Anolis sagrei: one gene and its partner. The protein of the gene in region 2 purifies or fractionates together with the protein of the main gene of each other region. This does not show direct contact. Links are inferred from orthologs where the notes say so. Each region holds a gene or a part of one and is shown on either strand. Other genes may lie near its edges.

The links. Proteins that work in one complex are often made in the same cells at the same time.
Region 1: the proteins of HDAC2 (region 2) and MIER3 purify together in Homo sapiens (affinity purification with mass spectrometry; 3 studies listed by BioGRID and IntAct, with this or other methods). This does not show direct contact. The link is inferred for Anolis sagrei from reciprocal best matches to the Homo sapiens genes HDAC2 and MIER3.

What each region holds. Positions count from the first base shown.
Region 1 is NC_090022.1:271,878,482-271,886,302, reverse strand, and holds the start of MIER3 (mesoderm induction early response protein 3), read right to left. Parts: upstream 3,058-7,821; 5' UTR 2,989-3,057; coding exon 2,980-2,988; intron 2,347-2,979; coding exon 2,322-2,346; exon of another isoform or gene 2,269-2,321; intron 1-2,268.
Region 2 is NC_090021.1:91,450,128-91,457,675, forward strand, and holds the start of HDAC2 (histone deacetylase 2), read left to right. Parts: upstream 1-4,542; 5' UTR 4,543-4,657; coding exon 4,658-4,709; intron 4,710-7,548. UniProt on the Homo sapiens protein: Histone deacetylase that catalyzes the deacetylation of lysine residues on the N-terminal part of the core histones (H2A, H2B, H3 and H4).

The DNA.
Region 1 (7,821 bases), on a different chromosome or scaffold from region 2:
TGCCACATAGTCCAGTTCAAAGCAGATATTGTGAGATTTCCTGCCTTGATATTCTGGGTTATATGACTGTTTGGAAGGGCCCTTGCTGACATACTCCCAAAATTCAATTCTGAAGTCCACTGCCAACAGTAGGACTATGGCCACAAAGTTCTTCCACACCTATAGTGGGGCATCATGTTCCTCTGCCCACAAAGTTCCTCTTTAACCGTGGGCATACACACCTGCACTATTCAAAGTCCTTACAGCTAGATCTGCAACTAGAATAACTAGAATAAATTTAAAATTTCCAATGTAGAATGTTACCTATTTTGAAAAATGTGGTTGCCAAGGGCTGCCTTAGCCTGTTTAATATGTACATATATAGTCATAGAAGAAGTACATTCCATATAAAAACTGTGCCTTTAAGAATTTTTGCTGAACAAACAGTGTAGCCCTATACATTTTATTGAGAATTACTTCTCATCAAACTCAAAGTCTTATCATTCAAATAATTTAGTTAACACTTCATAAATAATGTCATTTTTACCAAGGGCAACAAAGTATACGTTTTGGAAAGTTTTAAATTATCTGATTTGTATGGTTTTACCTATCATTTCAATAAAAGATAAACTAAACCCAGGATCAGATGTCCATCTTTCAGGAATGCTTTAGTTGTACATTCCTGTATGGAAGTGAGTTGGACAAGGGTGCTTTCACACAGCCATATAACCGAGAATATCAAGGCAGAAAATCTGACAATATTTGCTTTTAACTGGGGGCCCTTCTCCTCCTCCTATATCCCAGAATATCAAGGCAGAAAATCCCACATTATCTGAATGTGGACTCAGATAACCCAGTTCAAACCAGAGATTGTGGGATTTTCTGCCATGATATTCTGGAATATAAACTTTTAACTTTATTGGCATAAAAAAATCCACTTCTGTTTCTTTTTGCTTAGGTAAAGCAGATTCTATGAAAACACCAACAACCAAAAGAAACAGAAGTTCTGGAATCAAACTTGCATTTTTGAGCCCTTCCACACAGCTGTATAACCCAGAATATCAAGGCAGAAAATCCCACAATATCTGCTTTGAACTGGGTTATCTGAGTCCACACTGCCATATATTCCAGTTCAAAGCATATAATGTGGGATTTTATTCAGCTGTGTGGAAGGGACCCCAGACAATGCAGCAAGACCATCTCCAAATAAACACGCACAGCATCGGACTTGATGGCTGCAATACTACGTACATCCACAGTCCCATTCCAGCGATAGTTAGTTGGAAAGCAATCTGGCATGTAGTTCTGGCATGGGCCAACTTGGGCCCTCCAGGTGTTTTGGACTTCCACCATTCCTAACAGCCTCAGGCTCTTTCCGCTTAAGTGGCTTGGGGGGGAAAAGAAAGGGCCTGAGGCTGCTAGGAATGGTGAGAGTTGAAGTCCAAAACACCCGGAGGACCCAAGTTGGCCCATGCCTGAAATTTACTTCTATGTAGATATGACTTTGCCAGCAGCATTTATTCAGAAGTGAGCCAAATTTACTGTCTGATATGTGAATTCCATCTACATCAGGTATCGGCAAACTTCGGGCCTCCGAGTGTTTTGGACTTCAACTCCCACAATTCCTAACAACCTCAGTCCCTTCCCGCTTAAGCATCTGGGGGGAGGGGGGAGAAAGGGCCTGAGGCTGTTAGGAATGGTGAGAGTTGGAAGTCCAAAACACCTGGAGGGCAAACTGGGCCTCTGGGTGTTTTGGACTTCAACTCCCACAATTCCTAACAGCCTACCTGTTGTGAGGAATGGTGAGAGTTGAAGTCCAAAACACCCTGAGGGCCCAAGTTGGCCCATGCCTGAAATTTACTTCTATGTAAATACAAAATTGCCAGCAGCATTATTCAGAAGTGAGCCAAATTTACTGTTTGATATGTGACTTCCATCTACACCAGGCATCGACAAACTTCGGGCCTCTGGGTGTTTTGGACTTCAACTCCCACAATTCCTAACAGCCTACCTGTTGTGAGGAATTGTGGGAGTTGAAGTCCAAAACATCCGAGAGGCCCAAAGTTTGCCGATGCCTGACCTACAGTGAACAGAACATCTCTATAGGATACTTCCCTAGGAACAAAACAGGTGACTTGAAAAGAATGGAAAAAAACAGAGCACGAAACAGCGAGAGGATGAGGAGGTTATGAGGAAATCATTTCAAGATGTCATCGTGAACGAGAAGAAAACAACACACAGAAAGGCATCTTTTGACAGATGCGCCTGTAACCTGGCCCTTAACCGTACCCAAAAGCTTCCCACTGCCGGAATCACAGAAGAAGGAACTGAACAGGACAAACCTGGGCTGGAACTCCCAAAGGAAGCCTGCAACAAGCAACAGGAGAAGAAGGAGTCAAAGGGGGGCTCTGCCACACCAGGAGGGCTCCCAAGTTTCCAAGCCACAGACAAGACAAGACACCCTTCTTCCACCTTTCCTCTCCTCCCTTGGCTCTTTCCAACTTCCCTTTGTCTTTCTTTCTTGAGATGTGAGACTATTCTCTCTCTTCTCTCTCTCTCTCTGTGTCCCCATCCCTCTCTCTCTCGCACCTTCAGAGCCTCCATCCTTTTCCCAAACCGGTCCTTCCTTCCTCGTCTCTTTCTACCTCCTCTCTCTCAGTCTCTCATCCTCAGAAATATGTCTCGCCCCCCAAACAGGACCCCGGCCGTGCCCACCGCCGCTGACGCCCAGAGCCGGGCTCCTGACTGACCATCGCTCTGGGTGGGGACTGGGCGGGCGGGCAGGCAGGCACCAACTGCGGCCTAGTCGCCCAGGCGGCGCTCCGCCGGCGCCCGAGGCTCCCTCCGCCCCCAGCCGGCCCTGGAAGCCCCCTCGGCGGGCCCGCGGCCTCCGGAGGGCTCTCCCAGCTCCGAGGAGGGGGCCTCCGGGCGCCGTCCCGCCTTCCAGTCCGGCCAGGCGCCCTCCGGACCCCCGCGCCCCCGCCCGCTCTCCCCGCTCACCTCCGCCATATTGGGAGCGCTCGGCCTGAGCGGCAGCGATGCGCCAAGTGCCCGGATGGGGCCGCTAAGCCAATGGCAGCGCCGAGGCCCAGGAGAGCTCGGGACGGGCGGGGAAGGCAGGCAGGGAGGGGCCCAGAGAGAGAGGGAGAGAGAGAAGACTCTGGGCGGGGAGCCGCCTTGGAAGGGAGGGAGGCACTCAGCCTTCCTTCCCCCACCCCGTATATAGACAGAACACCCATTCGCAATGCTATCAGGCAAACTTGGGCCCTCCAGGTGTTTTGGACTTCAACTCCCACAATTCCTAACTGTTAGGGATTGTGGGAGTTGGAGTCCAAAACACCTGAAAAGGCCCAAGTTTGCCCACCGTACCTGTTAACTGGCACAGAGAGAGGCAAGAGAAAGGGGAGAAAGGAGAGAGAGGGGAGAAGGAGAAAAGAGAGGGGGAGAGAGAGGAGGAGAGGGGAAGAGACACAGAAGATAAAAGAGGAGAGAAGAGAGGGAGAGAAAGGAGAAGAGAAAGGAGAGGGAAAGAGAAGAGAGGGAGACCAGAGGGAATAGAAAAGGGGAGAGAAGAGAGGGAGAGAGAAGAAAGGGAGACCAGAATTTATTTATTTATTTATTTATTTCATCTACTTATACCCCGCCCTTCTCACCCGGGGGGGGGGGGGCTCAGGGTGGCTTACAGGAAAGGCACAATTAGATGCCCAAATCACACAACAAACAATACAAAATATAACAATTCAACAATTAAAATAAAACATCAATACCTAATAAAATCATAAAAACTATCTCATGTCAGAGTCCATATATCAGAGTCCATATATCCATTCCATTCCATTGTCCTCGTCTATCGACAGGTCCTTTAGTTAGTTGTCAGCATGGCCAAAAGCTTGGTCCCACATCCAGGTCTTTAGTTTTTTCCTAAACGCTAGAAGGGAAGTCGTCGATCTGATCTCCCCGGGGAGTGAGTCCCACAGGTGAGGGGCCACCACTGAGAAGGCCCTGCTCCTCGTCCCCGCCAGCCTCACTTGTGCCACTGGCGGGGTCGAGAGCAGGGCCTCTCCAGAAGATCTTAAACTTCGAGGTGGGATGTAGAGGGAGATCCGTTCGGGTTCCAGGCTCAGCGATGAGTCCAGGATCACTCCCAAGCTGCGAACCTGCGTTTTTAGGGGGAGTGTAACCCCGTCTAACACAGGCTGTAACCCTATACCCTGTTCGGCCTTCCGACTGACCAGTAGGACCTCTGTCTTGTCTGGATTCAAGGAAGAGAAAAGGGGAAAGAAGAGAGGGAAAGAGAAGAGAGGGAGACCGGAGGGAAGACAAAAGAGGAGAGAAGAGAGGGAGAGAAAGGAGAGACAAGACAGGAGGGAGGAGAGGAGATAAAAAGGAGAAAAAGAGGAGAGGGAGACAAGAGAGGGAGGGAAAGGAGAGGGAGAAAGAGGAGAGACAAGAGGAGAGGGAGAGAAAAGAGTGGAGAAGGAGAGGAGGAGAGGAGAAGAAAGAGAGCAAGGGGGGGGGGAGAGAGAGAGTGGAGAGAAAAAAGAGAGGAGAGGAGGGAAAAAAGGGAGAGAAGGGAATTGTGTTTTTGAAGTCCCAAACACCTGGACTGGCCCAAGTTTGCCCACCGTACCTGTTAACTGGCATAGAGAGGGGCAAGAGAAAGGGGAGAAAGAAGAGAGAGGGGAGAGGAAGAAAAGAGAGGAGGGGGAGAGAGAGGAGATAAAAAAGAGGAGAGGGAGAGAAATGAGAAGAGAAAGGAGAGGGAGAGAGAAGAGAGGGAGACCAGAGGGAAGAGAAAAGGGGAGAGAAGAGAGGGAGAAAGGAGAGACAAGAGAGGAGGGAGGAGAGGAGATAAAAAGGAGAGGGAGAGAAAGGAGAAGAGGAGAGGGAGAGAAAAATGGGTTAGGGATTGTGGGAGTTGAAGTCCAAAACACCTGGATGGGCCGAAGTTTGCCCACCGTACCTGTCAACTGGCATAGAGAGAGGCAAGAGAAAGGGGAGAAAGAAGAGAGGGGGGGAGGAAGAAAAGAGAGGAGGGGGGAGAGAGAGGAGATAAAAAAGAGGAGAGGGAGAGAAATTAGAAGAGAAAGGAGAGGGAGAGAGAAGAGAGGGAGACCAGAGGGAAGAGAAAAGGGGAGAGAAGAGAGGGAGAGAGAAGAGAGGGAGACCAGAGGGAAGAGAAAAGGGGAAAGAAGAGAGGGAGAGAAAGGAGAGGGAAAGAGAAGAGAGGGAGACCAGAAGGAAGAGAAAAGGGGAAAGAAGAGAGGGAGAGAGAAGAGAGGGAGACCGGAGGGAAGACAAAAGAGGAGAGAAGAGAGGGAGAGAAAGGAGAGACAAGACAGGAGGGAGGAGAGATAAAAAGGAGAGGAAGAGAAAGGAGAAGAGAAAGAGGAGAGGGAGACAAGAGAGGGAGAGAAAGGAGAGGGAGAAAGAGGAGAGACAAGAGGAAAGAAGAGGGAGAGAAAAGAGTGGAGGAGGAGAGAGGACAAAAGAGAGGAGAGAAGGTGAGGAGAGGAAAGAGAGCAAGGGAGGAGAGAGTGGAGAGAAAAAAGAAAGGAGAGGGGGGAAAGAGGGAAAGAAGGGAATTGTGTTTTTGAAGTCCCAAACACCTGGAGGGCCCAAGTTTGCCACTATGCCTGTTAACTAGTATAGGGGGAGAGAAGAGAGGGGAGGTGGAAAAAAAGAGAAGAAAGAGGAAGGAGAAAAAGTGAAGGGAGAGGAGAGGGGAAGAGATGAGAGGGAGAGGGGAAAGAGAAAAGGAGACAGAAAAGAGGAGAGAGAAAAGGAGGAGAGATGAGAGAGAAAGGAGAGAGAGAGAAGAGACAGAGGAGAGAAGAAGTGGGGAGAGAAAACTCTAGGTTGAGGAGTAGCCTTTGGAGGGATATATACAAACTGTACTCTTCAATCCCCCACCCCAATATATACACACACGCCCCCAATATATATACAGAACATCCATTAACAGCAAGTGCTAGCAATGCTATCAGGCATGGCCAAGCTTAGGCCCTCCAGCTGTTTTAGACTCCAACTCCCACAATTCCTAACAGCTGACAACAGCCCAAGTTTACCCACCATGCCTGTTAACCAGGTACATGTACAGTACATGTCCTGAAGGTAACATTTTAAATGAGAGAAGGAGACAGGAGAAAGAAGAGACAGCTAGAGAGGGGAGGGATAAAGAAGAGAGACAAGAAAGAGAAAGGAGAGGAGAGAGAAGACTCTGGGACAAGGAGCAGCCTTCGAATGGATATATACAAAGTCCAAAATACTTGGAAGGCCCAAGTTTGCCCACCATGCCTGTTAACTAGCTACATGTACAGTACGTGCCTTGGAGGTAATATTTTAAATGAGAGGGGGAGAGAAAAGAGAAAGAAGAGGGAGAAGAGACTGATGAGAGAGAAGAGACGAGAAGAGAGAGGAGAAAGAGAGAGGAGAGAAGAGTGGGATGAGAAGCAGCCTTCAAATGGATACACACAAACTTCAATTGCCCCCCCCCCCCCCATGTATACAGGCCTCCCAATATGTGTTTGTGTGTGTGTGTAGGCCCGTAGCCAGGATTTCATTTCGGGGGGGGGGGGGGGGGCTGAGTCTGAGTGAAAGAGCGTCTAGCCTAGCAAACCTTTTGTATCATTACCCCAATACCCCCATGCATATGGGATATATTGAGTAGGGTGATCAGATCATGATATGACTTAACATAAGTTTAAATAATGCACCAGTAAGGCCTTTTCGCGAACCACCATGAAAATTTCGGGGGGGGGGGGGGTGCTGACCCCCCCCCCCCCGGCTACATGCCTGTCTGTCTGTCTGTCTGTGTGTGTGTATAGAACACACATTAACAGCAAATACTAGCAATGCTATCAGTATTTACCAAACTGGAAGCTGCTCTGATTCCCCTCCAGGGTGAGATAGAGTACGGTAGGAATACAATAATAAATATCAAGCATGGGCAAACTTTGGTCCTCTAGGTGTTCTGGACTTCAGCTCCCTCAATTCCTAACAGTCAGATCCCATGGTGCCCTAGCATGAAGACATGGCAATTAAAGTGGGAGCAAACTATACAGCAAAGTGGGTGTTTTGGAGTTCAACTCCCACAATTGAAGTCCAAAACACTGGAGAGTCAAAGTTTGTCCATGCTTGCAACAACAACTCTCTCTGTGTGTGTGTGTGTGTGTGTGTGTGTTGTTCATTCGTTCAGTCGCTTCCGACTTCGTGACCTCATGGTCCAGCCCACGCCAGAGATCCCTGTTGGCCATCACCACCCCAGCTCCTTCAAGGTCAATTCAGTCACTTCAGGGATCCCATCCATCCATCCATCTTGCCCTTGGTCAGCCCCTCTTCCTTTTACCTTCCATTTTCCCCAGCATAATTGTCTTATCTAAGCTTTCCTTTCTTCTCATGATGTGGCCAAAGTACTTCATCTTTGCCTCTAATATCCTTCCCTCCAACGAGCAGTTGGGCTTTATTTCCTGAAGTATGGACTGGTTGGATCTCCTCGCAGTCCAAGGCACTCTCAGAACTTTCCTCCAACACCACAGTTCAAAAGCATCTATCTTCCTTCGCTCAGCCTTCCCTATGGTCCAGCTCTCACATTAAGTGACTATGGGGAATTTTATTTATTTTATTTTATTTTTATTTATTTTATTTTACTATTCTTGTATACCGCTGTATCTCAAGCCTGAGGGCGACTCACAGCGGTTTCCAGACAGTAAACACAAAGACAATAAAAACAGCAGCAATCAATATACCATAGCAGTTAAACTACACAATTCCATAACTAGCAATAACAACATCAATACACAATTATCACAACCCCCCCCCCCCAATCGCCTCGTCATCCAA
Region 2 (7,548 bases):
CTATTTTAACTCAGTTCCTCCTGGGATTTTGTCCCCACCACCAATCCAAACCCCAGGTTCCCCCCAGAGATTGGCCGGATACCCTCCCGAGTCAACCAAAGTCAACCAGTCACCCTCTCAGCCCATTTCTCACTCAAAAACATACCTGAGTGGTCTGCTGGCGGCACAGGTTCACCTACAGATGTCTCCTGATGCACGAAAATGACATGTCAGGAGATGGGGGGGGGAAGTCCCCCCATTTTTATGCCACTGGCTGATCTTTGGTTAACCCAGGAGGGATTTAGTTACTCCCCCAAGGGAAAGCTCAGGGTTTGGGTTGGAGGTGGGAACAAAATCCCAGGAGGAACTAGGTTAAAATAAGATGTCTCCCAGTTCCTCCTGGAATTGAAGGCACTGTAGAAGGGCCCTTAGACTCTATCTAAACTGCCATATGATGAAGTTAAACTGGCAATCCCCAAGTTACAAACATTCAACTTACAAACAACTCATAGTTACAAACTGGGGTGAGACAACCAGAAGTGAAAGAAATCTACTCCTGGAAAGGGAAAATAATTTCTGGAAGAGGTAACATGGCAAAAAGGTGTCTCCGTGGAAGTTCTCATCAACTCTTGTATCCACAAGCTAAATTTTTCAAAATCCAATTATCACAGGGACAGAAAATGAGGTGAAATCTTCTGAACAGGGGCACAGACAGCAAAACAGGGGCACAGACAGCAAAATCTGACCACCTGGAGTGCTTCTGGTGTTGCCGCAAGGAGATCCTCCATTGTGCATGTGGTAGGGCTCAGGTTGCATTGCAGCAGGTGGTCAGTGGTTTGCTCTTCTCCACACTCGCATGTTGTGGATTCCACTTTGTAGCCCCATTTCTGAAGGTTGGCTCTGCATCTCGTAGTGCTAGAGCGCAGTCTGTTCAGTGCCTTCCAAGTCGCCCAGTCCTCTGTGTGCCCAGGGGGGAGTCTCTCATTTGGTATCAGCCATTGGTTGAGGTTCTGGATTTGAGCCTGCCACTTTTGGACTCTCGCTTGCTGAAGTGTTCCAGCGAGTGTCTCTGTAGATCTTAGAAAACTATTTCTTGATTTGAGTCATTGATGTGCTGGCTGATACCCAAACAAGGGATGAGCTGGAGATGTCTCTGCCTTGGTCCTTTCACTATTGGCTGCTACTTCCCGGCAGATATCAGGTGGTGCAATACCTGCTAGGCAGTGTAATTTCTCCAGTGGTGTAGGGCGCAGACACCCTGTGATAATGCGCCATGTCTCATTAAGAGCCACATCCACTGTTTTAGTGTGGTGAGATGTGTTCCACACTGGGCATGCGTACTCAGCAGCAGAGTAGCATAACGCAAGGGCAGATGTCTTCACTGTGTCTGGTTGTGATCCCCAGGTTGTGCCAGTCAGCTTTCATATGATATTGTTTCTAGCACCCACTTTTTGCTTGATGTTCAGGCAGTGCATCTTGTAGGTCCAGAGTGATTCCAAGGTATTTGGGTGCGCTGCAATGCTCCAGTGGGATTCCTTCCCAGGTAATCCTCAGAGCTCGGGATGCTTGTCTGTTCTTAAGGTGAAAAGCACATGTCTGTGTTTTAGATGGATTAGGGATCAGCTGGTTTTCCCTGTAATAGGCAGTAAGAGCACCTAGAGCTTCGAAGAGCTTCTGTTCTACCATCTCAAAGCTCCCTGCTTGAGTGGTAATGGCACGATCATCAGCATAGATGAAACTCTCTGTCCCTTCTGGCAGTGGCTGATCATTTGTGTAAATGTTGAACATGGATGGAGCAAGCACGCTCCCCTGAGGCAGGCCGTTCTTCTGTTTCCGCCATCTGCCTCTCTGGCCCTGGAACTCAACAAAGAAACTCCTGTTTTGTAGCAGGTTTCCTATGAGGCGGGTGAGATGGTAGTCCTTTGTGATATTATAATTTTTCTCAGGAGGAGGCAGTGGTTCACAGTATCATAGGCTGCTGACAAGTCGATGAAGACAGCTCCTGTGATCTGCTGCCTTTCAAAGCCATCTTCTATGTGCTGAGTCAGGTTCAGCACTTGCGATATGCACCTTTTGCCTTTCCTGAAGCCAGATTGCTGTGGGATCAGACAGGGGTCTATGTTTTCCATAATTCTATGCAAAATAAGTCTCTCCAGAACTTTGTAAAGATGGCGTAACAGGGAGATTGGTCTATAGCTTTTTGGATCATTACGGTCTTTGCCTGGTTTCAAGATGGCAATGACTCTTGCTTTCCTCCAGATTTTGGGGATCTGACAGGATGCAGTGCAGTTGTTCATCAGCTCCAGCAGCCAGTGTCTTGCTTTTGAATCAAAGTTCTTGATTTGTTCCATCCGTACATCATCCAGGCCAGCTGCTTTGCCATTTTTACATTTATTGAGAGCCATGTCCAATTCTGTAGATGTAAAGGGTTCATGGAGGTTGTTGTTCTCAATCTCTTGTTGTCTGGCTATTGGTTTCTTTCCTACTTTGGTGGCAAGGTTGGGTTTCCCATTCTTCAAGAGTTGGTGTGCTATTTGATCTGCCTTTATGTTGGCATGGGTATTAGTTTGTGAGCGGTCGTTGCTCAGTCGACCCGTCAAAGCCGACCCCTTAAAAAGATAGTGTATTGTGTGCAGGGCCGTAGCCAGAAAACAAATTCGGGGAGGGTTGACAATTTTGGGGGGGGGGGTTGAAAATTTGGGGGGGGGTTGAAAATTTCGGGGGGGGGGGGGGTTGAAACCTGCCTCCTAGCTCACACTGAAACGAAGAGCACAGCAGGGGGCAGAGCAGCCTTCAATTGTTGTTCATTCGTTCAGTCGTCTCCGACTCTTCGTGACCTCATGGACCAGCCCACGCCAGAGCTCCCTGTCGGCCGTTACCACCCCCAGCTCCCTCAAGGTCAGTCCAGTCACTTCAAGGATGCCATCCATCCATCTTGCCCTTGGTCGGCCCCTCTTCCTTTTGTCTTCCACTTTCCCCAGCATAATTGTCTTCTCTAGACTTTCCTGTCTCCTCATGATGTGGCCAAAGTACTTCAACTTTGTCTCTAGTATCTTTCCCTCCAGTGAGCAGTCGGGCTTTATTTCCTGGAGGATGGACTGGTTGGATCTTCTCGCAGTCCAAGGCACTCTCAGAACTTTCCTCCAACACCACAGCTCAAAAGCATCGATCTTCCTTCGCTCAGCCTTCCCTAAGGTCCAGCTCTCACATCCGTAGGTTACTACAGGGAATACCATGGCTTTGACTAGGCGGATCTTTGTTGCCAGTGTGATGTCTCTACTCTTTACTATTTTATCGAGATTGGACATTGCTCTCCTCCCAAGAAGTAAGCGTCTTCTGATTTCCTGGCCACAGTCTGCATCTGCAGTAATCTTTGCACCTAGAAATACAAAGTCTGTCATGGCCTCCACGGTTTCTCCCTCTATTTTCCAGTTGTCAATCATTCTTGTTGCCATAATCTTGTTTTTTTTTTTTGACGTTTAGCTGCAACCCGGCTTTTGCGCTTTCTTCTTTCACCTTGATTAAAAGGCTCCTCAGCTCCTCCTCGCTAGCCCCTGTCAGCCACCTCCACCAAGTCTGGCCTCCTTAATGAGAGCATTCAACACCCCCCCCCCCCCAACTTGGTTGCTTCACTACATTGGCTATTGCTGCAAGTAATGACAGTGTGAATAAATTGTCAATATTTGCTTGAGATAGTGCTTACAGTTCTGGAGGGACTCTTAATTTTTTGCATCTCAGACTTAGCATGGGGATTTGGTTAACCAGTTAATATTCATGAGTAAACCAGGTTTTTTAAAAAAATCTGAAACATTTCGGGGGGGGGGGGTTGAACCCCTAAAACCACCCCCTCGCTACAGGCCTGATTGTGTGCCTTTATTTAATAGGATAAAGGCACACAATACACTATCTTTTTAACATCCATACCCGATGATGAACCCAGTGGCCTTCGAAAACGTGTGCAATGTGTTGGGGGCCTTTTATTTGGCCTAATAAAGGGACCACTTCAATATGTTATTTAGATTTTCCTGCATTTTCTTTCAAAATCATTATGTGAGAGCTTAAGAGGGAGAATGGGCTTGGAGGGGAACTATTTTGTAGGGATTTCGTCCAACAAAACTGCCCGCCTTTTGCAAAACCCTTCAAAAAGGAAGAAAGAGGAAAAGGCGCGCGAGGCCGGAGCCAACATTCTCTGGGGTCTCATCCGAAAAGCGTCTCTCACAGCCAGGGAAAAGAAGCCCTCTGCGCTTGCGCACTCCGCACATGCTGATTGAGCGAGGTCGAGCACAGCAAGAACGGACCGCTTCGTTACGCAGACCGTACCATTGTGTCGTCGAAATTGAGGGGGATGAAGAAAAGAAGTTGATAAATTTTCGCTCTTTCTTTCAAGTGTAAAGGGCTCTGCCTCAGGAACTCTCTGCAAGTTACCATGTTGCCTTCGTTTGGTACCGGAGCGCAATTCTATGCCTTCGAAAAGGCGGGGCCTGAGAGTGCGTTTCCCCGCTCCTCCCCCCCTGCGGGTGGTTCCTTCCTCGAGTGGCACGAGCCCGCGGCTGGAGGAGGCGGGGCCGGCTTTTTCTCACGCAGCTGCGTCGCCGCCTCAGCGCCAGGCATCTCTGCTGTGCCCTGCCGGCCTCGCTTGATCCGGAGGTAGCTGGGGATTCCCTCAAGAGGCGGCTTCATGGCATACAGTCAGGGAGGCGGCAAGAAGAAAGTCTGCTACTACTATGACGGTAAGAAAAGTGGGGTTTCTTTCGCGTTTGAGGGGTGTGTATGCCTTTAAGTCTGTGAGAGAGCGCCTGAGGGTGAAACCCCCCCCCCCTTTTGTGCTCCGGCGCGTCCGTTGGTTCTGTGTACTCCCCGTGCGCGCGCCCCATCCCCATCCCCTGCGCGCGCCCCCTCTTCCTCCTGTCCTCGCGCGCCTTCTTGCCCCCCCCCCTTTTTTTTCCTTCCCGGCGCACGCGCCGCCTACAGCCCCGCCCCCTCCCTCCCTCCTCGACGCCCCCTCCCCTTTTTCTGTGCCTCTCTCTCTCCCCCCCCCCCCCCTCAGACCTATTGTGTCTGTAGAGGCGTCTCTCCAGAGTCCAGACGGAAGTTGCTAACCCAGACTCTTTCATCTCATTTTTCCTCCCACCTCCACCCTCTTATCTCTTGCATCCTCTTTTCTGTTTGTGAATACTTGGCTGCTAAAAGATAGCACTGGGATGGATGCAAAGGTATCCACCTGGAATGGAGGCTATTGTCATCCCCCCCCCCCCCGGATTTTGCATTGCAGGTATCCCAGGAAGCATCGGCACTGTAGAATAAATGAAGTTTTGACACCATTGTATTTTATAATTCTACTAGCCGTCCCCTGCCATGCGTTGCTGTGGGCCAGCTTGGTGATCTGGAAAATAAAGTAATAAGGAAGTGATGGTTTCTAATATATGTATTTTCTTTATGCTTCTGGGTAAACAGTATTTCTTGTTTCTTTTTCAGTATTGATGTAGAGATTGTCTGGTTTGCCTACTCTGGAACATGTAACATAGAATTGTCCTTTAGGAGTCCCTTTAAAATCTATGAAACTATATCTGTCATATTCATATGTATGTGTGTGTGAATCATATATAACTATCTATATATGGCTCTTTGTCAGGAGGGCTTTGGTTATGTTTTTTTGCCCGGGTGAAGGGAGTTGGGCTGGATGGCCTTCACCCAGCATTTCTCAACCTGGGGGTTGGGACCCCTGTGGGGGTCATGAGGGGGCGTCAGAAGGGTCATCAGATAACATCAGGAAACACAGTATTTTCTGTTGGTCATGGGGGTTATGTGTGGAAAGTTTGGTCCAGTTCTATTGTTGGTCGGGTTCAGAATGCTCTTTGATTGTGGGTAAACTATAAATCTCAGCAACTACAACTCCCAAATGTCAAGGTCTGTTTTCTCCAAACTCCATCAGTGTTCACATGTGGGCATATTGAGTATTCATTCCAAGTTTGGTCTAAATCCTTGATTGTTTGAGTCCATAGTGCTCTCTGGGTGTAGGTAAACTATAACTCCAAAACTCAAAGTCAGTGCCCACCAAACCCTTCCAGTATTTTCTGTTATTCACGGGAGTTCTGTGTGCCAAATTTGGTTCAAGTCCATCATTGGTGAAGTTCAGAATGCTCTTTGATTGTAGGTGAACTATAAATCCCAGCAATTACAACTCCCAAATGACAAAATCATTTTTTAATATATATTTATTTTTCAACATTTTCAAGAGAGAGAAAAAGGCATCCAAGATTACAGTGAAAGTGGAGCAACAGTGTGCTCGCCTTAGAAAGAAAGGAAAGAGCAAGAAGAGAAAAAAAGGAGGAGAGGGGAGGTGATGGCTTCCTGTTCGATCCACAGGGACGTAAACAATTGTGTCCATTTACTTTTCCGCATTATAACTTAGTTACTTTTCTCTATATTAGTTGGTATATCCTTCATCCGTAGAGTTGGATTTGCATATCTTCCTGCATAAACCTTCTCAGAGGCTCCCAATTCGTCTGTTTATTCTTATTTTTATTGTCAATGTATTGTGATAAGTTGTCCATGCTCATATAGTCTAGGATTTTGTTTATCCAATCACCAATTGTAGAGGGTCTTTCTCTTTCCATTTTTGGGCAATTGTCGTTCTTGCCGCAGCTGATATATAAAAAAACATCTTTTCGTTTTCACCTAAATTCAAGTTTGTTATGTTCAAAAGATAAAATTCCGGTTTCAACTCAAATTTCACCCTAATAATTTTTTGGGTACATTTGTGTATTGCTGACCAGTAATTTTTGATTGTTTTGCACCCCCACCACAAATGGAAGTGGGTGCCTAGCTCTTTTTCGCATCTCCAGCATCTATTAATTTTTATTGAATTTTGATATTTGTAGAGGTGTCAGGTACCAGCGAAAATATATCTTGTACCATCCTTCAATTATATTTGTAGCTTTCGTGAACCTTAACTTCTTCCAGATGTTCTCCCAATCTTTTAACAATATTGGATGGCCAATGTCAATGGCCCATTTTGTCATATTTTCTTTTATTCTCTCTTTTTCCAAGTCCCATTCTAACAGGCTTTGGTAAAGAGTTTTAATTAATTTTTGATCCTTTTTCATTATCTTATCCCAACTTGATTTCTTGGTATTGAACCCTACTTTTCGATCTTCTTTGAAGCATTCTTTTGTTTGCCAATAGTGAAACCAGCTCATTTTTCTGTCATATGTAGGCATGCCATCCTCTTCTAAGGTCCCACCCCTCTAGGGTTAACATTTTTCTGTTTTGTAGGGTCACCCAGTCGTTGATCCAGGTCAGAGCACTCGCCTCAAAATAACGTTGCAAATTAGGGAGGGTGAGGGCAAAATCAATTTTTTGAGTGATGGTCACTCATTGGGTTGTTAGGTGTATTCTGTCCAAATTTAGTGTCTATCCGTCCAGTGGTTTCTGAGTTATGTTAATCCCACAAACGAACATTACATTTTTATTTATAAAGATTTAAATGTTTAATTTACCTACATTGTTTGAAGGCATCAAATAGTTGCCTAAGTGTAAGCTGCCTTGAGTCCCCCTCCAGGGTGGAGA